Linked DNA regions of Caenorhabditis elegans. The protein of the gene in region 4 purifies or fractionates together with the protein of the main gene of each other region. This does not show direct contact. Each region holds a gene or a part of one and is shown on either strand. Other genes may lie near its edges.

The links.
Region 1: the proteins of F28H7.3 (region 4) and pfn-1 fractionate together in Caenorhabditis elegans (co-fractionation; one large-scale study listed by BioGRID). This does not show direct contact.
Region 2: the proteins of F28H7.3 (region 4) and txdc-17 fractionate together in Caenorhabditis elegans (co-fractionation; one large-scale study listed by BioGRID). This does not show direct contact.
Region 3: the proteins of F28H7.3 (region 4) and ctl-2 fractionate together in Caenorhabditis elegans (co-fractionation; one large-scale study listed by BioGRID). This does not show direct contact.

What each region holds. Positions count from the first base shown.
Region 1 is NC_003279.8:12,918,068-12,925,815, forward strand, and holds pfn-1 (Profilin-1), read left to right. Parts: upstream 1-3,936; 5' UTR 3,937-3,972; coding exon 3,973-4,098; intron 4,099-4,942; coding exon 4,943-5,215; 3' UTR 5,216-5,481; downstream 5,482-7,748. Other genes in the region: fkb-2 (peptidylprolyl isomerase), read left to right, coding at 660-857, 911-1,039. UniProt on the Caenorhabditis elegans protein: Binds to actin and affects the structure of the cytoskeleton. At high concentrations, profilin prevents the polymerization of actin, whereas it enhances it at low concentrations. By binding to PIP2, it inhibits the formation of IP3 and DG.
Region 2 is NC_003281.10:2,830,228-2,838,010, forward strand, and holds txdc-17 (Thioredoxin domain-containing protein 17), read left to right. Parts: upstream 1-4,435; coding exon 4,436-4,586; intron 4,587-4,814; coding exon 4,815-4,905; intron 4,906-5,734; coding exon 5,735-5,891; 3' UTR 5,892-6,034; downstream 6,035-7,783. Other genes in the region: Y71H2AM.1 (N(6)-L-threonylcarbamoyladenine synthase), read left to right, coding at 432-830, 2,143-2,254, 2,566-2,651; Y71H2AM.29 (G_PROTEIN_RECEP_F1_2 domain-containing protein), read left to right, coding at 2,922-2,942, 3,305-3,556; josd-1 (ubiquitinyl hydrolase 1), read left to right, coding at 6,412-6,569, 7,377-7,446, 7,513-7,655.
Region 3 is NC_003280.10:14,297,174-14,306,063, reverse strand, and holds ctl-2 (Peroxisomal catalase 1), read left to right. Parts: upstream 1-4,036; 5' UTR 4,037-4,043; coding exon 4,044-4,097; intron 4,098-4,169; coding exon 4,170-4,814; intron 4,815-4,865; coding exon 4,866-5,138; intron 5,139-5,876; coding exon 5,877-6,407; 3' UTR 6,408-6,508; downstream 6,509-8,890. Other genes in the region: ctl-1 (Catalase-2), read left to right, coding at 1-581, 636-908, 1,922-2,443; Y54G11A.7 (Tetratricopeptide repeat protein 38), read right to left, coding at 6,529-6,850, 7,213-7,559, 7,608-7,803, 8,124-8,297, 8,347-8,512, 8,558-8,756.
Region 4 is NC_003283.11:10,747,702-10,755,074, reverse strand, and holds F28H7.3 (Fungal lipase-type domain-containing protein), read left to right. Parts: upstream 1-4,286; 5' UTR 4,287-4,373; coding exon 4,374-4,440; intron 4,441-4,490; coding exon 4,491-4,897; intron 4,898-4,996; coding exon 4,997-5,407; 3' UTR 5,408-5,470; downstream 5,471-7,373. Other genes in the region: irld-6 (Receptor L-domain domain-containing protein), read left to right, coding at 1-116, 161-370, 413-579; gtnt-24 (Glycosyltransferase family 92 protein), read left to right, coding at 928-1,175, 1,228-1,418, 1,468-1,568, 1,772-1,924, 2,115-2,318, 2,371-2,564, 3,862-4,018; F28H7.2 (DeHydrogenases, Short chain), read right to left, coding at 6,137-6,352, 6,398-6,571, 6,622-7,049, 7,095-7,131.

The DNA.
Region 1 (7,748 bases), on a different chromosome or scaffold from region 4:
TTCACTTGTTGTTGACACGATTGCCATAAATTTCAATTTTTAATTAAAATGCTTTGAAATTTTATTAATTTCCTTGTTTTTTTATTTATTTCTATCGAGAGAACTCATTTTCAACGATTTCCGAGAAAGAACAAATTTCTCTGAAGAGACGCAGACACTTACCTTAAAGGCGCATGCAATTTCGCGGCAGCGATATCTCGCCACGAACAGTGTCGCGCCTTGTTCGATTTTACTCTCGCCTCGTAAACAACCCATTTTTGCTTGTTTTTCACCGATTTTTGGTCATTTTTCAGAGTTTCTTATCGAAAAAATCATGTCAGACGCCCACTTTTCAATGACAAATAGTTGTTCTTCGAAAATTCAGTGTTATTTTGGCCTAAAATCGGCTAAAACTCTGGTCATCAGATTTTTGTTTACTTTGCCGGTTTTTTCCTGTTTTAGGCCATTCTTCTGGAGTTTTCTATCAAGAAAATCAGTAAATCAACTGAAAATCAGAAAAGCAACCTTATTTTCGAGGCAGAATTATCGATTTTTGAAAAATAATTGTTATTTTGGCCTAAAAACAACTTGAACTCGCCCTTGAACAATTTCTTCCTTTTCTTTGCCATTTTCTCTTTATTTCTGAGTTATAAATCTTAATATTTCCTCTTTTAGCAAGAATGGGCGTCGACAGACAGATTCTCGTCGAGGGCGACAACGTCACCAAGCCAAAGAACGGTCAGACCGTCACCTGCCACTACGTGCTCACCCTTGAGAACGGAAAGAAGATCGACTCTTCTCGCGACCGCGGAACTCCATTCAAGTTCAAGATTGGAAAGGGAGAGGTCATCAAGGGATGGGACCAAGGAGTCGCCCAGGTTTGTCCATCGATTAGCTCAATTTCAATATAAAAAATCAACTTTTCTTTCAGATGTCAGTTGGTGAGAAGTCGAAGCTCACCATCTCTGCCGATCTTGGCTATGGACCACGCGGAGTTCCACCACAAATCCCAGCCAACGCAACTCTCGTCTTCGAGGTCGAGCTTCTCGGAGTCAACTAAGCTGCCCGTCTCCGTTTGCAGCTCCGTTTTAGCAGCTGCCGTGTGCAACCTCTCCATAAATGATATCAATTTTTTTTAATGATTCCAAGTTTTCTTTCTTTTTCCCCCCTTAATTTTCTCTGTAAACTAAATATTTCTTCCTATCTAAGTAGCATAAATTATTTAATCTTTAAAAACAAAATGGTTTTTCTCTGTGCGTGTTGACGTGGCGTTTGTGTGTCCTTGAAGTCGAAATCTCCGATTACCTTGCCAATTTTACTCTTTTATTCTTTTCTTTTTCACTTTTTTGCCTCACAATTCATTCGTAATTGTGTGCGCGGGCGATCCTTGCGTAGCGCCCGTCTTTCTCAGAAGACCATCTGTTCTCCATTTTCGAAACAATTCAGGCCTCCTGTTCATTAGAAATACACAAGACGAGAGGCGGAAGACGCCTCCCCTTCGATGATTCATAGTTATTTTTATCATTTCAGATTCCTCCGCCCAGTGGGATGGTTTAAAAATCATTGAAATTCGCCATTTTTACACATCTTTTCTTGAAAAATCTCCTCTTTTTTGTCTCCAAAATTGATTTTTCAGTTTTTCCGACGTTTTTCCACTAGAAATTGGCAAAAGCCAGCGAAAATTGAGCAGAATTTAGCTAAGAGTACGGTAGTCGCCTAAGTACGCAGAGTTGCGTACGATGCATTCCATTTGACGCGCAAAATTTTCTGATCGCGAAAAAAGATTTTTGACCTCAATTTTTTGATCTGCCCGCCAATTTTCGTCGTGTTTTTCGAGAACTGGTCGAAGAGGATGACAATTTCTTCATTTTTCCACTTTTTTGGCCGGTTTTGTGACGTTTTTACCGATTTTCCGCAGGTTTTTCACAAAATTCTCGCGTTTTCTCCCAAAATTGATATTTCCAGCAGTTTTTTCCGCGTTTTGTCTCGGTTATTGCCAGAATATATTTTCCTCATTCTCTAGCAAATATTCGCTAATTTTCCTGATTTCCACCCTATTTTCTTCCGGAAAGTTCAGTTCGTTCCATTCTTGCTTTAAAACTGTAAGGAAGGAGCGGAAATAGGTGATTCAGAAAGAGTTTTTTATCAATTTTCGGCATCCGATAACGTCGTGAATCGAGAAAAATAAAAAAGCTATAAAAATTATCACATAGCGTAAGATTTCGACTAGAAAACTCTCAATTTTCCTATTTTTTTTGATGAAATTTCAGCTCACAGTGAGTGTTTTGTAGAAAAATGTAAAATTTTCCCCATTTTCCCCATTTTCCGCTTTCTGGAGTTTATTCGTTCGATTTACTGACAAAATCTTCGGGTTTTCTGCAATATTTATAGAAAAATCCGGCCAATGCTACGAAATTTCTGTTTTTCGCGGCTCTTTTGACTATTTCGTGACTTTTTTGGGGCTTCGATCATCAAAATTTCGAATATTTTTATGATTTTTGAGCATTTTGATGTATTTTTTTTCTTCTAAATGACTTTCAGATCTCCTTGGCAGAAAAAACTGCGAATATTATAACAACTTGAAGCTTCCTCGACGATTTTTGGCGACCTGCTGTTCCATGTGACTCACCATTCCAATTTCGCAATCCACTGGTCATTCTCGGCATTAAGATCCATTTTCAGCGCTCAATTTCGCAATTTTCAAAGCTAGAAAGCTTTGTTCAAATTGAATTGTTTCGCAACTCGTCTTCTATCGCCTTTTGGTTCTCTTTCTCCTCCGTCGTCTTCGCTGTGTTCTCTTCAAAATGATTCATCATTGGCTTTGGTTGTGTCTCTGGGTCTGTGTGTTCAATATAAATTGCAACTGCATTTGACATTAGTATGGATTGAGGCGGGTTATTTCACCCTCTTTTAGTAGTACACACACATTCAATTTGATGGGCGGTCTCTGTCTCTCTTTTCGTCCTTTATGGGTGAATAACTGACCAGCGGAGCAAGCAGGCAGGAGCAGGAGCACAAGCTCGTTGTTCGGGTTGAAAAGGGGAAGAAGGAGAGCACCAGATGGCATGCAAACATTCTCTTTCTCTTCTTCTCTCTATTGCTTTTCCTCACTGTCATTCACTGCTTCTCCATTTGCCCAGCCAATTAGATGGAGTGTTCCGGGTGGTCAAAGATGTCCTCTAGTTTTCGTAGCAATTTTCATCTTTCGGAATTTGAAATTGGAAGTTTTCTTTAATTTCTCTCAATTTTGGGTCATCTGGCGATTTTATGCCATTTTTCTTGTGAAATTAAATTCTCAGATTGCTCTAGATAGTTCAAATCCTCTAGTAGTTGAAAATTCGCCTCAAAACGTTGCTTTTTTAAAAAGAATTCTCCCTTAAGTTGGTCCTAATTTCTCGAGGCGAGATCTTCCAAAAGCTGAATTTTTCCAAGTTTTCTACATCTGAAACTCGAAATATTTACTATTTTCGTAGTTTTTGGTAGTTTTCGGTGTTTTCGAGCTTCAATTCCGCCTTTTTGGCCTGAAAATGGTCTGAAAATCATCGAAAATTGGTCAACTCTAGGTAAAATGCCAATTTTGGTTTAAATCGGCTCAATTCACAGAAAATTTCCAAGAAATTCATGAAAGAAGCTCAATTTTTGCACTACATTGGCGAGAAAATTGTGAATTTAGTGAGATTTTGTTGGTTTTTGTCATTTTATCCATTCGCAAGTTCTTCGCCACCAACTTACACCACAGATAAGCAAAAAATCTGCGGAAATATCAATTTTTGGGTATTTCGGCATTAAAATTCCATTTTTTGCGCAGTAAATCAAAAAATAATCGATTGTTTACAAAAACCGTAATTTTCAAGCGATTTTATGCTCTTTTTCTCCTAATTTGTGCTCTTTCTTCATATTATCATTTCTCATTACCCCTCCAACCATCTCAATCATAATTTATGTTTATTTTTTCAGTATAATCTCCGCTTCAACCTCCTCCAAAACACAAAAATGTCCGGATGGAATGCCTACATCGACACAATGACTGCCGCTGCTCCATCAATCAAACGGTGTGCAATCGTCGGAGCCGCTGATGGATCTGTCTGGGCTCGTACTGAGGCTGACAATGTGTTCAAGGTATGGAAATGGACGAAAATCATCGAAGAAGCTCGAGAAAAAATCGATTAAAACTGGAAACGATTGAAAAATCCTTAAATTGACCCATTTTTGAGATTGAAAAGAGCTAGCGGGGTCGATTTTTGTTGGAATTTTCGCATTTTGACCCAAAAAACTGAAAATCTCGCGAAATTATTCACTTTTTGAATTGAAAATCGAAATTTTTAGCCGCTGAATTTACATTTTACAGGAATAATTAGCAAATCCACTCAAAAATTGCAAAATTTTCATTATTTTTCGAACAAAATTAAAAAATTCCAGATTAGGCAGGCTTCAGGCGGCCGTGCCTGCCTACCAGCCCCTGTTTCTCATATAGTTTATACTTCTTCGAAACCCAAGTAGGCAGCAGACAGGCTTAGGCTACCTTGAAGGTCAGGCAAGTTACCTGCCTGACTACCTTCGAGGTGGCCTGCCTGATACCTACATTAGAGCCTACTTGTATTTCAGCCGCCTGAAGCCTGCCTACTCTGGAATTTTCTAAACTTTTTTTTTTCAGATTTTTCAATTTCATGAAAATTTAGAGTTAAAAAGCGTTAAAAAAAAAATTAAAATTCGAAGATTTTTTCCTGCAAAATGTAAATTCACAGACTGAAATTTGTGATTTTCCAGTATCTCGGCCAAGAATAAGCCGATTTTTTTGGAAATTTCAGTGTTTTGAGGCCTAAAAATGCGAAAATTGGGGAAAAAGGCTAACTTTAGGGTTACTGGATTTAAAATTTCGAATTTTTGGAAATTTCAAAGCGCAAATTTTTTAACAAGAAATATTTCCTGTCCAAAAACTTCTCTAATTTTTTCCAATTTCCAGGCATCCGAAGAAGAGCTCAAAACCTTCGTTGCCCTATTCAATGACGTCACTCAAGTTCCAGCAAAAGGAGCCGATATCGAAGGAGTTCATTACGTCGTTCCACGTACCGAAGAATCGCTCATCTTCGGAAAAAAGGAGAACACTGGATTCTTCGCTGTGAAGACCAAGTCTGCAGTCTTGATTGCTGTCTACGAGGGACCAAATGAAGTTGCTGCACAAGTTCGCAAGGCTGTCGAGAGTATGCAAACCTATCTCAACAATGCTGGATACTAAATACTTCTCTCTCTATCGATTGTTGTTCGATTCGTATTTATTCCCGCTTTTCTCTATTTTTTTTTTGCAAACTTCCCCCTTCTCCCTTCTCCCAAACCTTGATTTCTACGAGTACAACGATGAAATTCGGTTTTCTTCCGCGTAATCTTTCCCTCAAAACTCCCATTCCCAGAGCAAACACAGAAACAGTTTTTATTTCACTTTCAGCTTTATCATAATGTATTGTATTCCCCCGTTTTGTTTTCTAGTAAATTCATTGCCAATTCAATGCCTTCTCGATTATTTCATTTTCATCTCCCATCGACGGAGAAAGAGAGTGAGAGAAGAGTTTTGTGCTCGGAGCAATTATCGCGTGTTTTTTTCGAAACCACGCCCACACTGCAATTGTGCGGCGCGGTTTTTTGGTCAGAATCATTTTACAGATTTTTATCATCGTTTGCAAAAATCGTTTAGAGAAAAAAAACTCGGAAAAAGATGTCTAGAAAATGAGGGAAAAACAATTAAAAAGTAATCACATTTGTCAAATGAAATTTTCCACAATATCTTACGCGAATGGGTCTCGCTAGGCAGACAACACGGTTACTGTAACTCCTGTCGGTTTACAGTAACCTGTTGCCAGCGTGGCGAGACCCGTGGGAGTGAGATATGGCGGAAATTTTTATTTTTCGGCGTCTTCGTATTATTTTTTATGAGAAAACCCATAAGAGTACGTAAGAAAAAATGGCCGAAAGTTTAAGCTTTTCGAAAATATGGAATTTTTCTATATATCGGAAAATCATAAATTTTCGTCTCAGAAAAGGGTGCCGTTTTTCGATTTTTCAATGTTTTTAGGGAAAATTTTCGATTTTCCGAAAAATTTCATTTTTAGAAAAATCAAAAACCGAAAAAACTGCTCATTCCAGTATGATAATTCAACTTTTTTAAATTCATAATTAAAATATTACGTATTTGGCGCACAAGATATGTCGTAACGAAAACTACAGTAATTCTTTAAATGACTACTGTATGTCGATTTACGGGCTCTATTTTCGTATTGGATTATTTTTCAATGCTGGTTTCCTTTTCATAAGGAAACTCCCAAAAACGGAAAATAATATTTACGAATATCGCTGACACAATTCGAAAAGTGATTAATTTCGATAACCAAACCCGTAAATCGACACAAAGGGCTACAGTAGTCATTCAACGAGTTACTGTAGTTTTCGCTTCGAGATATTTTGCGCGTCAAATATGTTGTGCGATACGCATTTTCAGAACTTAGTGCTACCGTAATATAAACAATTGGAAAATGCTTTCCCTATCGAAAAGTCTGAAAATGACTTCAAAAACCGTTTCAAATCAATATTTATGCAATTTTCAATAGAATTAATCAAATAATCAACCGATTTCTGTAGATTTTGCATCAAAAATCGTAATTTTCAAGCTATAAATGCCTGGTTTTGAGTGATTTTATGCTCTTTCTTCATATTATAATTTCTCATTACCCTTCCAGCCATCTGAAATCTTTCATTTTTTCAGTATAATCTCCGCTTCAACCTCTTCCAAAACACAAAAATGTCCGGATGGAATGCCTACATCGACACAATGACTGCCGCTGCTCCATCGATCAAACGGTGTGCAATCGTCGGAGCCGTGTGATGTGCGGAAAGGTCCTGGAAATATTATTTGCCAGGAAATGTACTTAAAATGAACCAACTGCAGTATTACTCACACACGAAATTTGGCAATTTTTGCGTAAAACACGGTCTCGACACGACAAGAATGTTTTGATTTCGAAGAGTTGTGCGCCTTTAAATAGTACTGTAATTTCAAATTCTTCATGGTGCATTGATGTTATTTTTCTCAGAACACCTATTATACAAAAAAAAATCGATGAAAGCAACGAAAATTTAAAATTACAGTACACTTTAAAGGCGCACGTTTTACTCGTTTTCAACGAAATTTGTCGTGTCGAGACCGGGCTACCGTATTTTCGCCAAAAAAAATCACGTCGAGTCTGGGTAATACAATTTTTGGCCAAATGGCGCAGTGAAGAAATTCACGACTGAGAATATACACACCGGGGTTCGAGTCCGCACTGTGGTCGAAATATTTTTGTTGCTTTTTTTACATGTTTATTTTTTGGATAATTCAAGGGTGCGGAACTCAAAAATCAGTGTATTAAAGCCGAGAAAAGTCTGAAAAATCTGAATTTCAGAACTTTATGAAAATCATAAAAGTACTTAATTCGACCTATTATCTAATTTTTCCAATTTTCAGGCATCAAATCCTGGAGCAAATCGGCGGTCTCTGAGCTTGCACTGAGGCTGACAATGTCTTCGAGGTACGGATCGGCTGAAAAATTCAATTTTTTAGAAAAAAAAACTCGATATAAATTAAAAGATCTGCCAAGTTGCACAGTTTTCGAGCTCTCAGCACAAAATTTCAAATTTTCCAAAAAAAAATTTTGGAGTATTTTGGAGTTATCAGTGTTTTTAGAATTTGAAAAAAACCGGAATTTTTTTGAGAATTACAAAATTTTCAAAATCTGGAT
Region 2 (7,783 bases), on a different chromosome or scaffold from region 4:
CGCCCACAAGACCGGGGTTCGAGTCCCGACTGTGGCGGAAATATTTTTATTTTTTTTAAATAATTTTGTTTTTCGAATAGTTAACGTTTAGTATTAATTTTTAAAGCTAATAGTGTATTTTCCAGGATTTTTCAAAACTGTTTCAAAACTTTTGGAATTTTTTTATTGCAAAATTTTTTGATTGTTTCCTAATTTTCAGAAACAATGTTCATATTTTTTACTCAAAATTGATTTTTTTTAGAGTCAGCATCGTTGATAACCCCTATCTAGACGGTTGTTTTATGAATTTTGGCCAATTTTCAAGATTTTTCGCAAAATTTCTTACGCCCACGAGACCGTGGTTCGAGCCCCGGTTGTGGCGGAAATATTTTTTCAGCGAAAAAAATTTTTTTTCGATTTTTTTCATATTTTTCTATTCGATTTTTTTGCAGGTAATCTCATATACGAAGAAAAGATACCGAATCTTTGGTGAAACAATCGATATTGCCGTCGGAAACTGTTTGGATCGATTTGCCCGTGTTCTCAAGCTCCCGAATGCACCATCTCCGGGATATAACATTGAGCAGCTTGCGAAAAACGGAAAAAAGCTTATGGAACTACCGTATTCTGTGAAAGGAATGGATGTTTCACTCTCAGGAATTCTGTCACTTATCGAGAAAAAAGCGCCAAAACTCATCGAATCTGGGGATTTTACACCGGAAGACTTGTGTTTCTCACTTCAAGAGACCGTTTTTGCAATGCTTATTGAGATTACCGAAAGAGCAATGGCTCATACGTCGAGCAAGGAGTTGCTCATTGTTGGCGGGGTTGGATGTAATCTGAGATTGCAGGTAGAGATAATGATAACTTGAATTTATTTCAATTTCTGAATTCTACGCATCGAGAGCTTTAAAATTGCACAAAGTTGGGTTCTGCCAAGAAAATCGCAAGGTTACTGTAGTTTTCGTGGCTAGACCCAAAGTGGGCGGAGATTTCCCCCATCGAGGATGTTTTTTTGAATTTTCAAATTCAGCGCTCTGGCCGAGATCTTTAAAATGAAACCAATATCGGCTAGATTACGATGGTTTTGGATAAAATTGGGTCCTGCCACGAAAAGGAAAAGGGAGGGATACTGTAGTTTTCGTGGCGAGACCATAAATGAGCGGAGCTCCTATTCGATTCTGGCGTTTTTATAGAATTGTTGATTTGAATACAAAAAATCACGATTTTACTCAACAAAAAAAAAACGGTGAAATATCCGAAAAATGGGAAACCAAGAAGTGGGCGGAGCCTATCTTAGGAATTTTAATTTCTGGAGATGTGAATTCGCCAAAACAGCAAAATAATATTTCGTGGAATTCGAATCTCCGGAGTGGAAATCGCCCGAATATAGGCTCCGCCCGAATCTTGGTTTTTTTTTTTTTTTAAATAAGCCCCGCCCCTACCTTGACTTACAGAAAGCAAGCTCCGCCCACATCTCGACTTTTCGAAAATAGGCACCGCCCACCTCTCGCATTTTCGAGAATAGGCTCCGCCTACATCTTGAATTTTCGAAAAAAGGCTCCGCCCACATCTTGACTTCGAAAATAGGCTCCGCCCACATATTGACTTTTCGAAGATAGGCTCCGCCCCTATCTTGACTTACTGAAAACAAGCTCCGCCCACATCTCGACTTTTTAATGGCTCCGCCCAAACTTTGGTTTTTTTTGTTAAAATAGGCTCCGCCCCAACCTTGACTTACTGAAAACAAGCTCCGCCCACATCTCGACTTTTTAATGGCTCCGCCCACCTCTCGACTTTTCGAAAATAGGCTCCGCCCAAACTTTGGTTTTTTTGTTAAAATAGGCTCCGCCCCTACCTTGACTTACTGAAAGCAAGCTCCGCCCACATATCGACTTTTCGAAAATAGGCTCCGCCCACGTCTTGACTATTTGAGTGTTGAATTTTTCTCGTACAAGAAATTGAAAAGAGGCAATAAATAATTCCCTTTGATTTTTTGCGAAAAATACTTTGAAATTAAGTTTTTTTAGTCGGAAAATCGATATTTCGTTGCGAGACCCAATTGTTGGGTGTCAAATTGAAGGTCTCGGCGCCGCGCTGAGTTCAAAAATTTGAATATTTTTACTGGAAAAATCATCGAATTTCTGACCGATTTTCTTCCAGGAAATGGCATCAGCAATGTGTGCGGAAAGAGGTGCTCACTTATTTGCAACTGATGAACGATTCTGTATTGATAACGGTGCAATGATTGCAAGAGCCGGCGAGCTCATGTTGGGTATGCAGTGTGTGTTTTATTGAAGAAATTGCGAATTTTCACCTGAAAAATCGATTTTTTCGCTGAAAAAACAAGGGATTTTGTCTGAAAATTGCATTAAAAGTCAATTTTCTCACTTATTTTCACCTGGAAAATCGATTTTTCACTGAAAAAACCAGGATTTTCATTCGAAAATTGCATTAATAATCAATTTTTTCACTTATTTTTATCTGAAAATCGCATTTTGACTAAAAAATTAACCGAAAAATGCAAAAATTCGCGATTTTTGACATAATTTTATCCCAAAAATTGTAATTTTAAGTCAATTTCAGCCTCCGGAATGCGTTTCGACCTTCGTAAAACCACAACCACCCAGCGATATAGAACGGATCAGGTTCACGTTGAATGGAGAGATTAATCGGTGCCTACCTACCTGCCTGCCTACAGGCGTAGGCAGGCATTTCTTCTGCTTCACGTTGTTTTTTTTTTCGTTAATTTTATTGATTTTTCTCCACTTTTCTTGTTGTTGTTGTTGTGCCGCGTGGCTGTTCTCATTTCTTTAAAATTTTACGTTTTTTTTTTCTCGAAATTTTGAAAATAGTTATCCCCCGTCCAATTTTCAATCATTTCTTTATTATTTTCTCCTGTTCTTCACACGTTTTTTGCACAAAAAGGAACGGGAAACAAAATGGTCGACGGATGTGCTGAGGTATGGCTTTTTTTTTACCGAAACCAACCTACCAGGCCCTAACTATCTGCCTGCAGGTACGCCGAACCAATAGGCGTTGGTCGCCTTGCAGGTGGGCAAATGTGATGTGATTGTTTTTTTTTAAATGTGATTTTATACCAACTTTCTAGTAGGCACGCTTGTAGGCGCCAGGTAGGCAACGATTTTTTCGTTTTTTTTTCCAAGTAAAAGTTAAGAAATACTAATTGATTTAATGGTAGGCACGCGAGTAGGCAGCCATTTTTCGCCAATTTTCCGTTTTTTTTTCGTATTTTCAAAAGCAAAAGGTTTAGGCATAAGGCAGGCGTAGGTAAAAACCCCCCGAAACCTCTTTTTTTTTGCAGAAATTCGAGCAAATGAGTTCATGGATTGTGCTGATTTCAATTGTTCCAATAACATTCAGCTTTATAACTGTCATTCTTTTGTGCTCATCTCTTCTAAAAGTGAAGAAAATGCGTGGAATTTGTGATGGAATCCATTCGAATGCTCATTGGTTGTCTAGAACTGCTGTTCGTGTTGGAATTGGAGCAACTGCCCGTGTTACAATCAATGAATATGCATCGACGAAGCCTGAGCTCAAGAGATTGCTTAAATAGATTACCTTGTTTTGAATGGAATAAATTATTGGGGATTTTTGAATTTTTTTATTAATTTTTTTTGTTGCTTTTTATCGGTTTTTGAAATTCCGAAGATTTTATTTACTTTATTATTTTTTTCTCTAAAATTTTCTAGAAAAAAAATTGAAATTTGATTTTTTAATTTTTTTTCGAAAATATGAATTTTGCCGCAAATTAATTCTAAATTTCGCAAAATTTTTCAGTGTTTCTAGAAATTTCTTATCGAAAAATTGAGAAAAAAAAACTATAAACTATTGAAAATATTTATTACGGGAACTCAAAATTTTGAGAATGCGTATTTCACAACATATTTGACGCGCAAAATATAACTATATCTCGTAGCGAAAACTACAGTAATCCTTTAAATGACTACTGTAGCTCGGTTGTGTCAATTTACGGGAACTCGATAAATAAATGATTCAACTCATTTAACAGAATCGAGATCCCGTAAATCGACACAACCGCGCGCTACAGTAGTCATTTAAAGGATTACTGTAGTTTTCGCTACGAGATATTTTGCGCGTCAAATATGTTGTGAAATACGCATTCTCAAAATTTTGAGTTCCCGTAATAAATATTTTCAATATTTTATAGTTTTTTTTTCTCAATTTTTCGATAAGAAATTCCTAAAAACACTGAAAATTTTGGGAAAATTAAAATTTTTCTTTCCAATTTTCAGAAAAAAATTTTAAAATTTGAATTTTGGAATATGGCTCAAAAATTTTGTGCAAAAGTGCAGAAAAAAAAATAAAATCCTATCATTTTTCGGGTTTTTTAAAGGATTTTCATGTCTCTTCCGAATATTTTTTTGTTGAAAATTTGTGGTAAATTTGAAAATTTCATGAATTTTTTCTCCAGATGACCGGACTGAAACACTACACTGCTCAGGGATACGAAGCATTTCAGGAGACACTGAAATCGATTGGAAAAGGAAAACGAGTCGTCGCTCTGTTCACTGGATCCAAAATTCTGACAACCGGAGAGTCTTGGTGCCCGGATTGTGTTGTTGGTACGAGATTTTGATGGCCTACCTACCTGCCTACCTACCCGCCTAGCTCATCCCCTGCGTACCTATCTGCTAACAGCCTCTGCCGCTTCTGTGCTTACCTACTCACCTATCTACAGTCTACATGCCTACCTACGGTGTGCCTGCCTTTGCCTACCGCATACCTATGCCTACCTACTGCTCACCTCACGCCTGCCTATAAATTAAAAAAATAATATATTTGAATTTCAGCTGAGCCAGTTGTCGAAGAAGTGATCAAGGACGCCGCCGTCGCCGGACTCGATGTCCATTTTGTCACTGTTTTCGTCGGAAATCGTGAAGTGTTCGTGGATTTTTGTAAAAAAAAATCGATAAAATTACGAAAAATCAATATTTTTTGGAAAAAATCAATAAAATTACGAAAAATCAATAAAATTATTAAAAAATCAAAAAATTATAAAAAATCAATAAAATTATAAAAATCAAATTTTTTTTGGAAAAAGTCGATAACATTACGAAAAATCAATTTTTTGAAAAAAAAAATCAATAAAAATATAAAAAATCAATAAAATTATAAAAAATCAATAAAATTATAAAAAATCAATGAAATTATAAAAAATCAATGAAATTATAAAAAATCAATTATTTTTAAATCAATAAAATTACGACAAATCATTTTTTTTTTTGGAAAAATTCATTTTTTTATAATTTTATTGATTTTTTCCAAAAAAAATCAATTTTTTTTAGAAAAAATCAATAAAATTATAAAAAATAAATTTTTTTAAAGAAAAAATCAATAAAATTATAAAAAATCAATTGTTTTTTAAAGAAACATCAATAAAATTATTTAAAAAAACCAATTTTTTAAAGAAAAAATCAATAAAATCATAAAAAAAATCAATTTTTTCTGGAAAAAATCAATAAAATTATAAAAAATCAATGAAATTATAAAAAATCAATTTTTTTTAAAAGAAAAAATCAATAAAATTATGAAAAATCTATAAAATTACGAAAAATCTATAAAATTATAAAAAATCAATTTTTTTGAAAAAAAAATCAATGAAATTACGAAATACTGTGTCAAAATTTTGAAAAATTCTCAAAGAAAAAATTTTCGGAAAAAATTATTTTGAAAAAAATTGCAAAAAATCTCTAAATTTCCAAATTTTCAGATGGCGTGACCCAGCTGTCGGATTCCGTACTGATCCAACACTCAAATTGACATGTATTCCGACACTTTTGGAAGTTGGAAACAAGGCAAAACGTCTTTTGGAGAGACAAATTGCCAATAAGCATCTCGTCAAGGACTTTTTCACTGAGGAAGACTAAATTATCGATTTTTTGGCTATTTATTGTGCTGAAAATTCCGCCATTTTGTTGTGATATTTAGACGATTTTTTGAATTGGGGTTATGGTTTTTGTTATTTAAAAAAAAAATTTTGTTCAGTTTATATAAAGGATTTGGTGATGGATTTTTTGATTTTTTGATTTTTTTTCAAAAAGAGGATGTGCCCTATTTTATGCTTAATTTTTTTTAATTGATTTTTGATTTTTTTTTGAATTAAAAAAAAGGAAAAATCGATATTTTGAATAAATTTTCTGAAAAATCAATACTAAATTCGAATTTCGATTTTCAAATAAAATTCGATTTTGTTTCGCACAAAAGTTAATAATTTAGTCATAGAAAATCGATAATTTTCATGAAATTTTTGAATAAAAATCAATATTTTATCGATTTTTTTCCAGAAGAAAATCGATAAACTGCAAAAAAAATATTTACGATTTCGACGACATTTTAAAAATAGAAAAAATTTCAGCATCCAATACCCCAATTAGATTTATATTCCAGATGACGTCATCACCAGAAATTTATCACGAAAAGCAACGTCTTCAATACTGCCTTATCCATACGGTTAACAATATTCTACAAAAATCCGAATTTGATCCGACAAAAATGGACGAAATTTGCTATGCGTTTAATGAGAGTAAATGGTTTAATCCACATAGGTACGCCGAAAAATTGATAATTTCCGGAAAAATCGATAATTTCCGGAAAAATCGATTATTTCTGGAAAAATCGATAATTTCCGGAAAAATCGATAATTTCCGGAAAAATCGATAATTTCCGGAAAAATCGATAGTTTCCTGAAAAATCGATAATTTCCGGAAAAATCGATAATTTCTGGAAAAATCGATAATTTCTGGAAAAATCGATAATTTCAGAAAAAATTGATAATTTCCGGAAAAATCGATAATTTCCGGAAAAATCGATAATTTCTGGAAAAATCGATAATTTCAGAAAAATTGATAATTTCCGGAAAAATCGATAATTTCTGGAAAAATCGATAATTTCAGAAAAAACTGATAATTTCCGGAAAAATCGATAATTTCCGGAAAACTCGATAATTTCCGGAAAAATCGATAATTTCTGGAAAAATCGATAATTTCAGAAAAATTGATAATTTCCTGAAAAATCGATAATTTCCGGAAAAATCGATAATTTCTGGAAAAATCAATAATTTCTGGAAAAATTGATAATTTCCGGAAAAATCGATAATTTCCGGAAAAATCGATAATTTCTGGAAAAATCGATAATTTCTGGAAAAATCAATAATTTCTGGAAAAATTGATAATTTCCGGAAAAATCGATAATTTCCGGAAAAATCGATAATTTCTGGAAAAATCGATAATTTCTGGAAAAACCGATAATTTCTTGAAAAAAATCGATAATTTCCGGAAAAATCGATAATTTCTTGAAAAAATGGAAAAATTATTTATTTTTTCAAAAATCAAATTTCAACAATTTTTTTTCAGATCCTGGATAGGAACCGGAAATTACGATGCGAATATCCTGATGGCGGCGCTTCAAAAACACGATTTAAAGGTGAACAACAACGATGCTCCGATCTTCCGCATCTTCGAAAAATCAATAATTATCGATTTTTTCCAGGTAATGTGGTTCGACAAGCGTGTTTCAGTCGAAAAAATCAATATGGAAAATGTGAAAGCAGTGGTTTTTAATATTCCATCACGGACCCTCCTCACATTGTACAGGGGACGACATTGGTTTGCAGTTATTCAGAAAAATGGAATGTGAGTTGCCGAAAAATCGATAAATTCGGAAGTTAGAATTATCGATTTTTTTTCTTCAAGAATCACCGATTCTTCCAAAAAATTGATGATTTCTATGAGAAATTACTGAATTTTCTTTTTAAAAATTA
Region 3 (8,890 bases), on a different chromosome or scaffold from region 4:
CCGGGCGGCGTGGCCCAATGCTCATGCAAGATGTAGTTTATATGGATGAGATGGCTCATTTCGATCGTGAACGTATCCCCGAGCGTGTCGTTCATGCCAAGGGAGCCGGAGCCCATGGATACTTCGAGGTCACCCATGACATCACCAAGTACTGTAAGGCCGATATGTTCAACAAGGTCGGAAAACAGACACCACTTCTCGTTCGTTTTTCAACGGTCGCTGGAGAATCGGGATCCGCTGATACTGTCCGCGATCCACGTGGATTCTCTCTCAAATTCTATACCGAGGAGGGTAACTGGGATCTGGTTGGAAATAACACTCCGATCTTCTTCATTCGTGACGCAATCCACTTTCCGAATTTCATTCATGCCCTGAAGCGCAATCCACAGACTCACATGAGGGATCCGAATGCGCTCTTCGATTTCTGGATGAATCGCCCTGAATCCATTCATCAGGTGATGTTCCTCTACTCGGATCGTGGAATTCCTGATGGATTCCGTTTTATGAATGGATACGGAGCGCATACTTTCAAGATGGTCAACAAGGAGGGAAATCCGATTTATTGTAAATTCCATTTCAAGGTAAGCCTAAGAGAGACGGGGACTAGAATTAAATTTTCATTTTCTATTTTTCAGCCTGCTCAAGGTTCCAAGAATCTCGATCCAACTGACGCTGGAAAGCTCGCCTCTTCGGATCCAGACTATGCGATCCGCGACCTGTTCAATGCCATTGAGTCAAGAAATTTCCCGGAATGGAAGATGTTCATTCAAGTGATGACATTCGAACAAGCTGAGAAATGGGAGTTCAATCCATTTGATGTCACTAAAGTTTGGCCACACGGTGATTACCCACTGATCGAGGTCGGCAAGATGGTGCTGAACAGGAATGTGAAGAATTATTTCGCTGAGGCAAGTGGTGTGAAGATGAATTAGTTTTTTTTAATATTAGGTCTCCAAATAAGTTCCGGGTCAAAAATCATAACTTTGTTCGCTGTGTATCGATTTTTATGAAACTGTAGGAATTTACGTTATCAACTATGATCTTTCATTTGACAATAGTCACAAAATTTTTTGGCCGTCCGAAGTGCCCTAACTCGGAGCCAATTTTTTCAGGCATTTTTCAGATCTCGCTTCTTTTCAGGTTTCAATTGAGGTTTGTGTGCGGATTTTGCTTAGTTTAGTACACAATGTAAGAAAACAAAAAGTTTGGAAAAAATCCGTCCAAAAAAATTTTTTTTGTCGGTCGTCAAAAAATCTTCAAAAAATTTTTTTTTCGAAAATTCTCGATTTTTTATACAAAAATGATGTAACCATGTGCAAACTATTTTTACACATACAAAACATTTCAATTTATTGCGTCACACTAAAACAATAACAGAAAACACAGCTTTTTCGAAAAATTTTCGAGTTCTTGGAGTATTTCTCGAGATCCAAATTTCATACTCAAATGTTTTGTATGTGTAAAAATAGTTTGCACATGGTTACATCATTCTTGTATAAAAAATCGAGAATTTTCGAAAAAAAATTTTTTTGAAGATTTTTTGACGACCGACAAAAAAAATTTTTTTGGACGGATTTTTTCCAAACTTTTTTTGTTTTCTTACATTGTGTACTAAACTAAGCAAAATCCGCACACAAACCTCAATTGAAACCTGAAAAGAAGCGAGATCTGAAAAATGCCTGAAAAAAATGGCTCCGAGTTAGGGCGCTCCGGGTGGTCAAAAAATTTTGTGACCATTTCAAAATGAAAGGTCATAGTTGATAACATAAATTCCCAAAGTTTCAAAAAAATCTATAAAAGGCAAAAAAAGTTCTGATTTTTGACCCGGAACTTATTTGGAGACCTAATAGGAACAATAAAAATTGCATTTTACGTCTAGCTTTAAAGGTGGAGTAAAAATATTTTTTATTTTGGTTTTCAGGTCGAACAAGCCGCCTTCTGCCCGGCCCACATCGTCCCAGGAATCGAGTTCTCGCCAGACAAGATGCTCCAAGGGCGTATCTTCTCCTACACGGACACGCATTACCATCGCCTTGGACCAAACTACATTCAGCTTCCAGTCAACTGCCCGTACCGCTCCCGTGCTCATACCACTCAACGCGATGGTGCAATGGCTTATGAAAGCCAGGGAGATGCGCCGAATTACTTCCCGAACAGTTTCCGCGGATACCGTACTCGTGATGATGTGAAGGAGTCGACATTTCAGACGACTGGAGATGTTGATCGTTATGAGACTGGAGACGATCACAACTACGAGCAGCCACGTCAGTTCTGGGAGAAAGTGCTCAAGGAGGAGGAGAGAGATCGGCTCGTTGGGAATTTGGCTAGTGATTTGGGTGGCTGTTTGGAGGAAATTCAAAATGGAATGGTCAAAGAGTTCACGAAAGTTCATCCGGATTTCGGAAATGCTCTTCGCCATCAGCTCTGCCAGAAGAAGCATTAAATTGTTTGATATTCAAACTTTTGTATATAGAATCTCGTTATTTATAAACTCTTTTTTTTGTATTTCTTCTGGTTTTTGATGATAAGAAATTTTATGTGCACATAAATCAAAAAAGCCGGAAATTAAATAGCGTTTTATCAGGCAGAAAATTGGCCACGTGACGTCATCATTTTCCTGTTTGAAGAAAATCTGGAAAATTTTTTGTTTCAGTCAATTTTTAAAGATGAAAACTTAAGTTAGACTGTAAAAGCAATTTTCGCGCCAAAATTACGGTATCGGGTCTCGAAACGACAGTTTTTTATCTATTGCGAAAATATGTGCGCCTTTAAAGAGTACTGTAGTTGCAAACTTTTGTCGCTGTGGAGTTTTTATCGATTTTTTATATTTTTTCGATGAAAACAACTCAAATATAACAATAAAAACACAAAATTAAAAAAAAAATCGATAAAAAATCCGCGTCAACGAAAGTTTAAAGTTACAGTATTTGTCGTTTCGAGACCGGGTACCGTAGTTTTTGGTGAAAACATTGCAAAATTTGGTCAACAATTTCATCGCTGCGAGACCGACACAACACTTTATTTTATTTTTGGGTTTCCCTTATCGCTTATCATAAACATGTGACGTCATCATCTCTTGTACAGAGCACCGCGACTGGGAGTATAAGAATCGCCGGAAAACATCAATAATCAGTTCGGTAGAAGTGAAAATTGAGCGTAAAATATGATCATTTTTCGATGCACCATATTTGACGCGCAATACTTCTACAAGCCGCTGTGTACTGCTCGTGGACAACTTTGGATTATTTTTTGTTTTTAAAATTCAAAATAGTCAATATATTGCTTATTTATAGCGCGCCTTTTTGACAGTAAGTTTGTCAAATTTGCGCGTAAGTTATGGTGTTTGCACATATGCACCATACAGCAACACCCCGCGGCCCGGCTAGTGGTACATCCATGCAAATGCGCTCTACTGATAATTTGAGTTTAACCAGGTTTAGGCGCAAGATAAGAAAAAAGCTTTGGACCAAAAAATTTAGAGTTTATTTTTTTCGGACATTTTTTATATACATCACAAAAATATTGGGCCACTCGTTTTTGATAAAAACGACAAGCCCAAAAGTTCAGGTATACGGTAGACAAATTGCGTACAGGTACCACTTTTCCACGTAGTGCCAGGTTGTCCCATTACGCTTTGATCTATGAAAAATGCGGGAATTTTTCGTCCAGAAAAATGTGACGTCAGCACGTTCTCAACCATGCGAAATCAGTTGAAAACTCTGCGTCTATTCTCCCGCATTTTTTGTAGATCTGTAGATTTGTAGATCAATCCATTCCCCGTATACCCTGACCCATAATCAATACCTACCTAATTTTTGTCTTTCCCCCTACTTTTTTGCCTGTCCAAAATAAGCGAGACTATGCCGTAGTCTGGTGTCCAACAACATGTTCCTTATCAGTGATAACGCTACAATCTTCTTTCTTTTTTCTCTGTTTCTCTTGTCTCTCCCAACCCATATTCCGTATTACACCTCGTCGTGGTCATTTTTTTGTTCAGAGTTTTATTTAATTCTAAATTTCCTAACTAAAATTTCAGAACCAAAATGCCAAACGATCCATCGGATAATCAACTGAAAACCTACAAGGAGACGTATCCAGTGAGTTTAGAGTTTAAAGGCACAGACGCATTTTCTACAACAACAACTACTATTTACAGTAACTTGTTTCAGAAACCCCAAGTGATCACAACTTCAAATGGAGCTCCGATCTACTCGAAGACCGCCGTGCTCACCGCCGGGCGGCGTGGCCCAATGCTCATGCAAGATGTAGTTTATATGGATGAGATGGCTCATTTCGATCGTGAACGTATCCCCGAGCGTGTCGTTCATGCCAAGGGAGCCGGAGCCCATGGATACTTCGAGGTCACCCATGACATCTCCAAGTACTGTAAGGCCGATATCTTCAACAAGGTCGGGAAGCAGACCCCACTGCTAATTAGATTCTCTACAGTCGGTGGTGAGAGCGGATCCGCCGACACCGCTCGTGATCCACGTGGATTTGCGATCAAGTTCTACACCGAGGAGGGAAACTGGGATCTGGTTGGAAATAACACTCCGATCTTCTTCATCCGTGACCCTATCCACTTCCCGAACTTTATCCATACCCAGAAGCGTAATCCACAGACTCACCTGAAGGATCCCAACATGATCTTTGACTTCTGGCTTCATAGACCAGAGGCTTTGCATCAAGTGATGTTCCTGTTTTCCGATCGAGGACTCCCAGATGGGTACCGTCATATGAATGGATACGGATCCCATACATTCAAGATGGTTAACAAGGACGGAAAGGCTATCTATGTGAAATTCCATTTCAAGGTGGGTCCTTAATGTTATTTAAATTTTTCGGTCTATAATTTCCAACTTCAGCCAACTCAAGGAGTGAAGAATCTCACCGTGGAGAAGGCCGGTCAACTTGCCTCTTCGGACCCAGACTATTCCATCCGTGACCTGTTCAATGCTATTGAGAAGGGAGACTTTCCAGTATGGAAGATGTTCATTCAAGTGATGACATTCGAACAAGCTGAGAAATGGGAGTTCAATCCATTTGATGTCACTAAAGTTTGGCCACACGGTGATTACCCACTGATCGAGGTCGGCAAGATGGTGCTGAACAGAAATCCAAGGAACTACTTCGCTGAGGTAATGGGCTGGGCTTGACCGCCTAGTTGCGCGCTAAGGTGGCCTAGTCGGTCCCTTTTCTACTCGGACTGTTTCTATACCGGAGAGCTTGCGGTACGGTAGTCTCGTAGGATTGTGTTTTGGTACTGTACAGAGCCAAAGTTTTTTGGGGTTACCACAGAAAGAGAGCAGGTTCTTCTCATTCACCACAACTATTACTATTCGAGTCAGGGTGGTACAGAAGCTAGGTGAGTGCAAACGTGCTCTACCGAACGAGTAAATTTTCTTGCGGCCATTTTTCATATGCATCGCAAAATCCAAATTTGGGTTAGTTTTCGAGATAGCAGCCAATACAGGTTTTTAGACTGATTATCATGAACCAAGCCATCTAGTTTCTGTGCTACCGTGTGAAGTGTGGTAAGGCATGCAATTGCGCTCTAACGAGAAACTAGGGCCCATAAGACGGAATTGATAGCTCTCACGTGGTGCCAGACTGTCCCATTATGGTTTGTTTTTTTTTTATCAACAAAAAATGCGGGAATTTTTTTTGCACAAAAAATGAGACTTCAGCAAGTTCTTAACCATGCGAAATCAGTTGAAAACCTTGCGTCTCTTCTCCCGCATTTTTTGTAGATCAAAGTAGATCAAGCCGAAATGAGACACTCTGACACCACGTGAGTTCAACGTGAATAGCTAGTTTTGGGAAACACAAAAACGTTTTTCCAAAACTACAGTAATCCTACAGTACTTTATTTCCAGGTTGAACAATCCGCCTTCTGCCCGGCCCACATCGTCCCAGGAATCGAGTTCTCGCCAGACAAGATGCTCCAAGGACGTATCTTCTCGTACACCGACACTCATTTCCACCGCCTTGGACCAAACTACATCCAGCTTCCAGTCAACTGCCCGTACCGCTCCCGTGCTCATAACACCCAGCGTGATGGTGCAATGGCTTATGACAATCAGCAACATGCTCCAAACTTCTTCCCGAACAGCTTCAACTATGGAAAGACTCGTCCGGATGTCAAGGATACCACATTCCCAGCCACTGGAGATGTTGATCGTTATGAAAGTGGAGATGACAACAACTATGATCAACCCCGTCAATTCTGGGAGAAGGTGTTGGATACCGGGGCTCGGGAGAGAATGTGCCAGAACTTTGCAGGGCCGCTCGGGGAATGTCATGATTTCATTATTAAGGGAATGATCGATCACTTTTCAAAGGTTCATCCAGATTTTGGAGCTCGTGTCAAGGCACTCATCCAGAAACAGGCTCGCTCTCATATCTAAACTTTCTTGAAATTAAAAGAAATTAAATGTACTTTTTATTGTAATAACTTGCTTTATTGTGTATAAAAAATATGATAATTAAAAATAAATAAAGTTAATATAACTTAAACTCTCCACCAACTCACAGCGGATGTAAAGCTCTAAACTTATCAGCAAGCCTCTGGCCCAACAGCGAGTCATGCTTCAGGGTCTCCCTCTCCACCAGCAGCTCAGGCGTCAAAGCCCAATTCTTGGGATCCTTGCTCAGAATGCAAGACTGTATCAGTGTCTGAACGAAAAGGTCCCGCTGGGCATGAGATCCTCCGATTTGGACAACTTTATCGCGAATTGGGTACATAGTCTCGGCAGCTGTGTCGTAGTCGCAGCGGGCAAAGTCAAGCATCCCGTCGTAGAGGGGCATCCCGATGGTCTTGCTGATTTGGGCATTGTCCTCGGATAGCAGCCTGAAAAATGATAGTTTGATATGTGGTAAGTTTGACCTAGGAGCTGATTATCACATCTAATTCCACATATCCTAACACCTTTCGATACAACGTTTTTAAATTTTCGCCAATCACGGTTTGATCTACAAAAAATGCGGGAAATTTTCCCTAAAAAATGTGACGTCAGCAGGTTCTTTATCATGCGAAATCAGCAAAGACGTCTGCGTCTAAATTCCCGCAATTCTCGTAGATCTACGTAAATCAAATCGAAATGGGACAGCTCGACACCACATGCCTACCAAGTACATACAACATGTCAAAATCTTTCATAGATTTGTAGCTTCTCTCTTTTCGGATAAGGCGAACTGGATAGTGTTACTCACGATGAATACTTCTCCAATGAATTTCTCAACTTCTTCTCCGTCTCCAAATCCTCCTGTCTATAAATTGCAAGCCCTAGGTGCACATCATTGAACACAATTGAGTGATTGTCGATGAACTTCGACAGATGCTCTATCTTCCTCCACCGATCCCTTCCAACATTGACACCTTCCAGTTCTAACCTCCACAGCAGTGAGCTGGCATCAACCATGTCTAGCAAGGAGTTGGTTTTGTTGAATCGATTCGCAATTTCTCGATCAAAAATCCCCAGCGCTGACTCATATTCTGCGTACTCAATGTGAAATAGTGCCGTGTGCCAGTAGTTGTGAGAGGCTAGCATCCAACCTTGCTGAAAGGGGAAGTATATTTACAATTAATTGAATAGATTGAAAAGTACCCTCCAATCATCCTCCGTTTTGTACATAAACTCTTTTCCCTCTTTGTGCCGCCCGTTCATCTCGAGGACGTGAGCCTTTGCGTGGGAAGCCCAGCAATCAAATCGGTTCAGTTGTAGGGCCCGATCTGCTTGTGTTTCAGCATCATCGTAGATACCACATTCTTCAAGGCCAAAAGCATACATGCCATGGAGATAGCTAAAGAAAAAAAATGTTGGGGATAGAAGCCGGTTTCGAAGCATGTAGATATAAAACCTATTTAGTTATTTTTGTTTTAATTTTCATATTTAGTTGTGAATAGGCCTGAACCTAGCTTGAACTCCTAGACCTTATGAACCATAACCTCTTTTATTTAGATGGATTCAAATCCCACTCTAGACGCATTGGTTTTTTGAAATTCGGAAAATCTGAACGCAGCGCTTACTAGGACAGTTTTCTTGTTGTAGATGGCGCTATTTTAAAATGAAACCAATTTTAGAGACTAAAATATTTCGAAAATAGAAACAATTAAATCTCACCTATAGCATGGTAAATCTGCATTCCACTTGTGGATAACCTTCTCAATTGCGTTCTTCTTCCCTATCTGATTTCCATTGAAGAAATGAGCATCGTGTGAGAACTTCACTGCAATTAAATCTGTTGGGTAATCATCTAGAAGCTTGTCCCACTCGATGGCAGCTTCATGATGCTTTCTGAAAAACAGGAAAGTTTCAAAAAAATATCTCCTAAAGGAGCCCTTACCCTCTTCCCCACAAAATCGCTGCTTTGGCATGTCGCTTTTCTCTGGCGTTTCCATACTTTTCAGCGTCAATTTCTAGTTGATCCATTTTCTTGGCAAATTCGACATTTCGAGCAGCGGCTTCTGTGCCGAGCCCGGAGAGGCCCACTAGGAAAGTTCGGGCCATAACTGAAAATTCAGAGACTCCAAGTGCTAAACAAAAAACAAACTAACTTGCTTCAGGATCCGAAGCCACAAGCTTCTCGATCGATGTATGAAATCCGCCTAAACTGGTGCAATCCGACCAGGACACAAGCTGTCGAATGCAGGCATCCAACCATTTCGCATTCTCATCACTCGTAGTTGATAGTTCCAGACCAGCCGACTTCCAGCCTTCGCAATTGCGCAAATGATCGGCACACCATTCGGCCATTTTCTGAAGGAAGAGAGGAGGAATGGGCGGTAGGTCTAATGAACGATATGACGGGGTTAGATGATGCAAGTGGGGGAGGGAGGACTTGATAGGAAAGTTTAGAATTTTCGGATTTTTTTTGCATTGAAAAAGCA
Region 4 (7,373 bases):
GCGGATTAAGGAATTATCCTATGCTCATACAATAAACGGTCAACTCCTAATTGCCAATAACCCATCAATTACGAAGTTATCATTTCCGTTTCTCAAGAAAATAAAATCTACAAAATGTAAGTTTAAAAATCTAATAATTTATTTTGAAAACTATTTTCAGGCCCTGCTCTTCAAATATCAAACATGACAAATTTGGAGTTCCTCTTATTCCAGTCACATGTAGAGTTTTCCTGTCGTAGAAGTGGGCCAATTGTGATGATAACTAATAGTTCGAAGCTATACTTACACCATCAAATGCTCAGACAACTCAGAAAAGTGAAGGCAGTCTTGAGACATTTCGATAGCAAAAGCGACACATATTCTGAAAAAAGTAAGTTATCAAAAATGTAACCTTTTTAAATATGTTTTTAAGCCACCTACTACTTGATCGGAGGGTGTTTTGTGATCGCAATCTTCATGGAATTTATTTGGTTTTTCCGAAAAAATCTTCTTCTTCCTAATTTCCTCTACCGTCTGTTCCCGATGAGAATTAATAGAAAACCGAAACAAAAGCATGGAAAGAAGAAGAAAGAGGATTGAATATTACTTTTTAAATTAACGCTTAAATGTTTTTACTTGACTATAAAATGTGTTCACATTTCTTAAATAAATTTTTGATGTATTATCAAAATTGTCTGATATTTTTTCCTAGTTCCATTAAGTCTTGTGAGAAAATAATGCAAATTGCAAAAGCAATTACAAATTTTTAAAAGTAATTTTTATCAAATACATTAATAAAATCATAGACAGGATCGCACAAGAGGGACGCTGGCGGATAGCCGTCACCTGTTCTAACAAATAATGTGACAAATAGGAGAGCACATTGCCTTGAACAAATATCAATTTATACATTTCAAATATTGTCTGTATCATTTTGATTTCTGAAAAATGAAAATGAATTGTGATATTCAGTCGAAGCTTTATATTTTCTTCATTCTTTTATTTTTTGTCATTTTATCAGTGCTTTATTCAATTGAAGTGTTCAACTATGATTTCGTTTCTAGTAATTTTGGTATTTCTTCAATTTATTTAACTCATATTCAAAAATATAAAGATGCCTACCCACCAATGTTGATTGGAGCATATGAATCTGAAACCCAAATATCAGTGTCTGTTGCTGCATTAAAACCTATTGGGTAATAATTAATTATTGCATATAATTATTTAGCAAACGATACTCAATTACAGTTATACAGTGTACTGCCGATATTTCGACAAAAACGGAAAAGAACATGAAAAGCCAATGAAAAGCTTTATTTATCCGTTATTTGTTGTGATTTGTGATCGAAAATCTTCAGAAACTCATAAAGTTGCAATAACAGATGGACCAAATGGAGTAGTGCTGGAACAATTTCAGATGATTGTTACTCGATGGAATGGTTTGAAATATTTCATCAATACAAAATGTGTAATTCGATTATTTTTCAGCAAGTTACAAAAGAATGTTGACTCATTGTTCGGCTCCTTTATTTGGACAAGAACCGAAATGGATGCATCTGGTAGAAATGATCGAGCATTATAAATTACAGGTTTGCTTAAAATTTTGCATAGATAGCTTAGTTTATTTATATTAAGTTTTTACGTTAAAGTTTTTAAAACAACCATTTTACCTGCTATTAAAGAGGCATTCATTTACCTCGTACATGTACCGAGTCGATTTTTTTTCAAAACTGATTATGTTTATTTCAGGCATAAAATTTTTGTCTCGCTTTGTCAAATTTTTACTTTTCAGGGTGTCACCAAGTTTTACTTTTACATCCGAGAAATCGAATTGTATGATATGTCAGTTCTTCAACACTATATGGCATTTCGAGATGAAGTTGAAATTATTCATATTCCTTCAATCTACTTTGATGCAGTCTCTCAACAGTATCTAGCAATTGCGGTAAGCAACTACCGTATTTTTCTATAAGATCAGTTCAACTGTTTAAATATAAACAAATTATTCAACATACCAATTTTACACTTTTTTTGAACTCCAAAGCCAACCAAGATGTTGTAAACTCAAAATAATGCTAGTGTGATTAATGGGGGAAATACAGTCCTAAAATTCAAGAAAATTCAGATATTTTCAGGACTGTCACTTGCGAAACCAATTATCAGCCAATTGGACAATCTTTTCCGACATTGACGAGAGAATCATTTTGACTGATAGCAAGACAACTATTCGAAATTTTTTACAAGATTCAGTCAGTGAGAAGTATGGAGGAGTTATGTTCCCACAGCGTTGGATATTCAAATATGAAAAGCTGCCTGAAAAGTTTATTAATCCAGTACAGGTATTGAAAGAGTACAGATTTTTGTAAATGAAATCGCTCATTCTGTTTTCAGATAATGCAAGAAATGCCGTCAAGGAAATGGGAACTTACAACTCAACCATGGCTCAACTGTACAGATGGAAAACATTGCTTCTCAAAAATGATAGTGAATAATCAAAAAGTATTACAAATGATGATTCATGACGTCGGAGAGTATAATGGGAATTATCAGACTTTGATTCTTGATCCGAAAATTGGATATATAAGGTATTAAAACAAATTTTTTCAATATTTTCATTAATACTAACTTAGTTTAGAATAAGTTTAGAATAAATTTGAAAATTAGCTTAATTTTGGATTTTGCAACGCCGTAAAAAAGTTTTAAAATTATTCTGAGAAGTTTCATTACGAAATTCGTTTATTCGAGCACATTTTAAATCTATAAATTTAAAATAGTACGTTAGTGCTCCTTTAAGAGAACGGTTAGGAACATTGAATTTGATTTGATTTATTTAACATAACTAATGCAATTTACAACTGTACAATTGAATTTTGAGTGTTAAATAAAACGGTAAAACGAGACTAACCCAGAAAGAGTACGTCTCGAGTTTGGGACGGGAAAGGAGAGAGAGGGTAATGTGGTAGAAGAGATCAATTAGAAGTCAAAGAGAACCAGCGGAGAAAAGTTAATACCGGGGAATATTGAGATCGAGAAAGTTTGAAAACTGATAGGGGGAGAGAAATACCGGTATATTTTTGACAAGATTGTTCCAAATAGGAATGGATTTGGCAAAGAAATGAGAGGTGCATGTGTCTTTCCTAACCAGAATCATGGGTCTCCTATTGGAATTAGAGAACTTGACAAACTGAGTTAATTTAGAGAAATGAGTAGAACCGGTAAGAAGTCTATATAATAGTTTCATTTGAGCTTTAATTCTTGTGTGTCTGGTGGAGAATAGTTCCATGATGCACAGTCTGTTTTCGTAAGAGGTGAATTTAACGTTGCACCTTTGCAGGACGCGTTTGGTGAAGGTCCTAAGCGGTTTTTCAAGTATGGCAGAGAGTGAGGAGTTGGGGGAAGGGGAGTAGATCTCAGAGCAATAGTTTATGATGGGGGCAACGTATGTTTTAAATAAGTGGCTATAAAACTTATGGGAGTTAGAGGAGAACGCTTTGAGAATTTGCTTAGCCCTTAGCATGGCTAGGCAGCTAATTTTTATAATATGAGGTTCAAAGTTTAATTTAAAATCCGTGATAAGACCTAAATCGCGGACTGTGGAGGATGGAAGAATGGGGACATTATCCACTCTATAGGTGTGGTTGGAGTTACGGGAACATTCCCTTTTGATAAGTACTAATAATAAAATGTAGTTTCTGAATAAAAAGGTTTTATTCAGAACCTATGTGTTGAAGTACAAGACGTTTTCATAGTTTTGGTTGAGGTCTGAACAAATTAACTAAAAAGAGAAAATGAGCAATTCGTAAATCTATGTAGGCTGTGCGAACACCAAATACTAACACTTATAAACTACATATGTTGAGCCATCACAGTGTTTTATTTCAGGCACTATCGAGATGTAAATATGGGAAAATGGTGGGTGAGAAATAAGGACGTACTTGAAAAACTGAAGCCATACGAAAATACCACGTACAATTTACGTCTCCGAGACCAACTTCTAACAAATGTTCTTCAAATTCTTTATGCAGTTCATCGACCGTAAGAAGAATAAAAAGGGTTGAAATTCATCACTATCACTTTGATCTCAATTGTTTTATGTCCATATAAACTTTAACTATGCAAACAAAATGTGTCGTCATTAAAAATTCTTATTTCAAAAAATTTTAAGATCAATTTGGTAACGGAACTCACAACCGCTTAAACTTTCCATCACACGTTCGTGATCTCTCCAACGAAATGTGTGCAGCATGCCGGTTTTCCTTTCCGTCTGATAAGAGAAAAGAGCTGTCTCTAAACCTCCTAATCATTCTTCACATAATACTTCCTTATCACGGCAAGTACAAAAACTCGTCCCACTTATCTGACATTGTCAGTTTGTCTTCTTCATTCTCCCCGAAATGCTGAAACTCTTCACGCTTCTCTGCGTGGTTTACACCGCCTATGGTCTTGTCCTCCCAGCTTCTAGTAAGTTCCGAATAATTTGGCACTGACTCTCTCACATCATACATTTTCAGTGCTAGCCAGTTACACAGATGCATTTGCCAGAACTCAAATGCTTGCTCTTGCTTCAGCTGCATATTCCTCTAATCCACAACATTGCCTTGACTCTAAATTCACAAACGCTAAGCTTCAACGTCAAATTTATGTGAAGAACTGTGCTTTAGTGAGCAACGATGTGTGCTCTGGATACACTGCTGTTCTTCATAACGATAAGGCAATTGTAATAAGTTTCCGTGGAACTCAAGGATTTTTCCAATTGATTTCTGAGGCTAACAAGAGTGTCTTTGAATCACAAATGTCTTGGATCGCCGGAGGAAAAGTATCTAAATATTTTGGAGATGCTTTCACAAAAGTTTGGGCTGCTGGAATGAAGGATGACTTTGCAACTCTTCTGGCCGCAAACCCTGGATATGAAGTTTGGGTGAGTTGATGACTTTGATAAGAATATTTGCTCTTTTTGTTACGTCAATAAAAATGGAAATCAAATAGTTATTAAATTATATGATTAAAAAATGTTCAGGTGTCTGGACACTCTCTCGGAGGATCACTCGCTTCGCTCGCAGCATCTTACGTCATCGGAACAAAAATGGTTGATGGATCCCGTGTGAAACTTGTCACCTACGGAGAACCACGTACCGGAAACAAGGATTATGCTCATGCTCACGATAATCAACTTGCATTCTCTTATCGTGTCACACATAACCGTGATGTTGTTCCACACGTTCCAAATGAGGACTTTATGGGATATTACCACAACAAGTATGAGGTCTATTACCGTGAGAATATGAAGAGCGGTGCAAAATTTACTATCTGCAACGGTGATGAAGATAACGGATGCTCTGATGGGCTCTGGATCACTACATCAATCGATGATCATCTTCATTACTTTGAGAAGGATATCAGTGCATGGGGAGATAAGGGATGTAACTAAATTAGTAAATTTTGTATTTTTTTGAATTTTTCTGTATGTCATAATAAATATGAGCTCCTAATCTGAATTTTTTTGCTTTCACTTGTATTGCTCCAGTTTTCTCACAGTGTTGTTCACAGAAATTATCACGTCTTTTGGCGCCGACTCCAAACCTGTCATTGAATTTGTCAAACGGGCTCCAGGCCCACGATTTGCTTTTTTTCAAAGATTTTTTTAAAACTAGAATTTCAGTCAAATTTTGAACGGTGATTATCAATTTTTTGTGTTTATATTATTTTTTAAACATAAATGAGTCAATTTGTAAAGTTTAAAAAATTGGGATGTTTGATTTTGATGAAAAATTTTTTTTTTGAAATTTGGAGTAAATTTTTATTGGCAAAAACCATAAAACTAATTCAGTGATCAGAAAGAAGAGTAGGTCCTGTATACTATGTATAATTTGTTGTCGTTGATGCAAGCCACTGAAACAAAAATTGAAACAGAATCCGAGCCTTGTGCAAGTTTGATCAAAGTTTTTGAAACAGTTTACCCAAAACCTTCTGTTTTTTTTAGTTTGGATGACATTGTCAAGAGTTAGGGTAATTTAGATGCAGTCCCAGCATTTTCTTGTCCAGTGGTTTGTATTCTGCCTGCAGATTTTAAACAGGCTAATTAAATAACGATGTTCTTTTTCAGAAACTCAAAAAATTAACATTTAAACTTTTAATATATTGCAATTAGTTGAACAAGTCAAAGTTCTTTGAAAACAGCTTGCATCATTTTAGCCCCGTGAGCATGAGCTCCGAGAATGAGTGAAGTTCCTCCGTCGGCAACAATTGTTTGACCAATAATATAATTGGAAGCGTTTCGATCGGCAAGGAAGGCAATCACTTTTGCAATATCTTCTGGTACTGCACAAAATCCACGTGGAATGCATTCCCGTTGAGCACCGAGATAATCGTAGAACTGAAATGATATTAGATTTTACATTATTTTAGAAGAAATAATTACAGCTTTTGATTTTTCCTCTGTCAGACCTCTCGAAACAGCTGAAAATCCAGTAGATACAGCTCCAGGGCTCACGGAGTTAACTCGAATCCCTTCAGGAACAAGATCGATAGCAGCTGTACGAGTATATTGATCTAATGCAGCTTTTGCAATTGAGTAATATGGAGATGCTACTTGCTGAAATCAGTTACAGTTATATTTAAGTTAAACGTATACAACAAACTCACAGCAGCTGGTCCAGCTCCAATGCTAGAAATATTTACGATTTCTCCTTGAGTTTTTGCGAGATGTGGGCGTGCTTTTTGTGTCATTTCAATTACACTTTGCACGTTTAATTCAAATGTTTTATGATATGTGTCAATTGATTGATTCACTCCACTTTTGCCTTGAGCATCTGGAATTCCAGCTCCAGCATTATTAACCAAAATATCGATTTTTCCAAATTTATCCAAAGTTGACTTGATCAGGTTTTCTTGAACACTTTCTTGGGTGATATCTCCGACAACCACAAGAACATTTCCTTCTGGAACACCAGCACCCAATAAAATATTCTTCGTCTCTTCAAGTCTCTCAGCATTTCTTCCAGTTACAGTAACCTTTGCTCCTTCGGAAGCAAGAAGACGAGCTGTTGCCTGACCAATTCCATTGGATGAACCTTAAACTTTTCATTTGATTAAATATTGAAAAATGTTGAACTTACCAGTAATGATAGCAACTTTATCAGTGAAGCGAGACATACTATTCGAATCAAATAGTTGACGAGTGAAGTTTCAATTTTTCACAAACTATTATATATTTGAACCGAGGAAGAAGACGCAGATAGGTTGAGAATGTATTATAAACAAAAGTAAATAAGACGACGGCCTTGTCATGCTCATATTTTGTGACTTTGTGCTCGAAAATCATTTGTTTGGGTGGTAGACCACAAATATTTGAAACCTTAAATAAGAAGATCATAAAGTAACTCAGAACTAGAGAA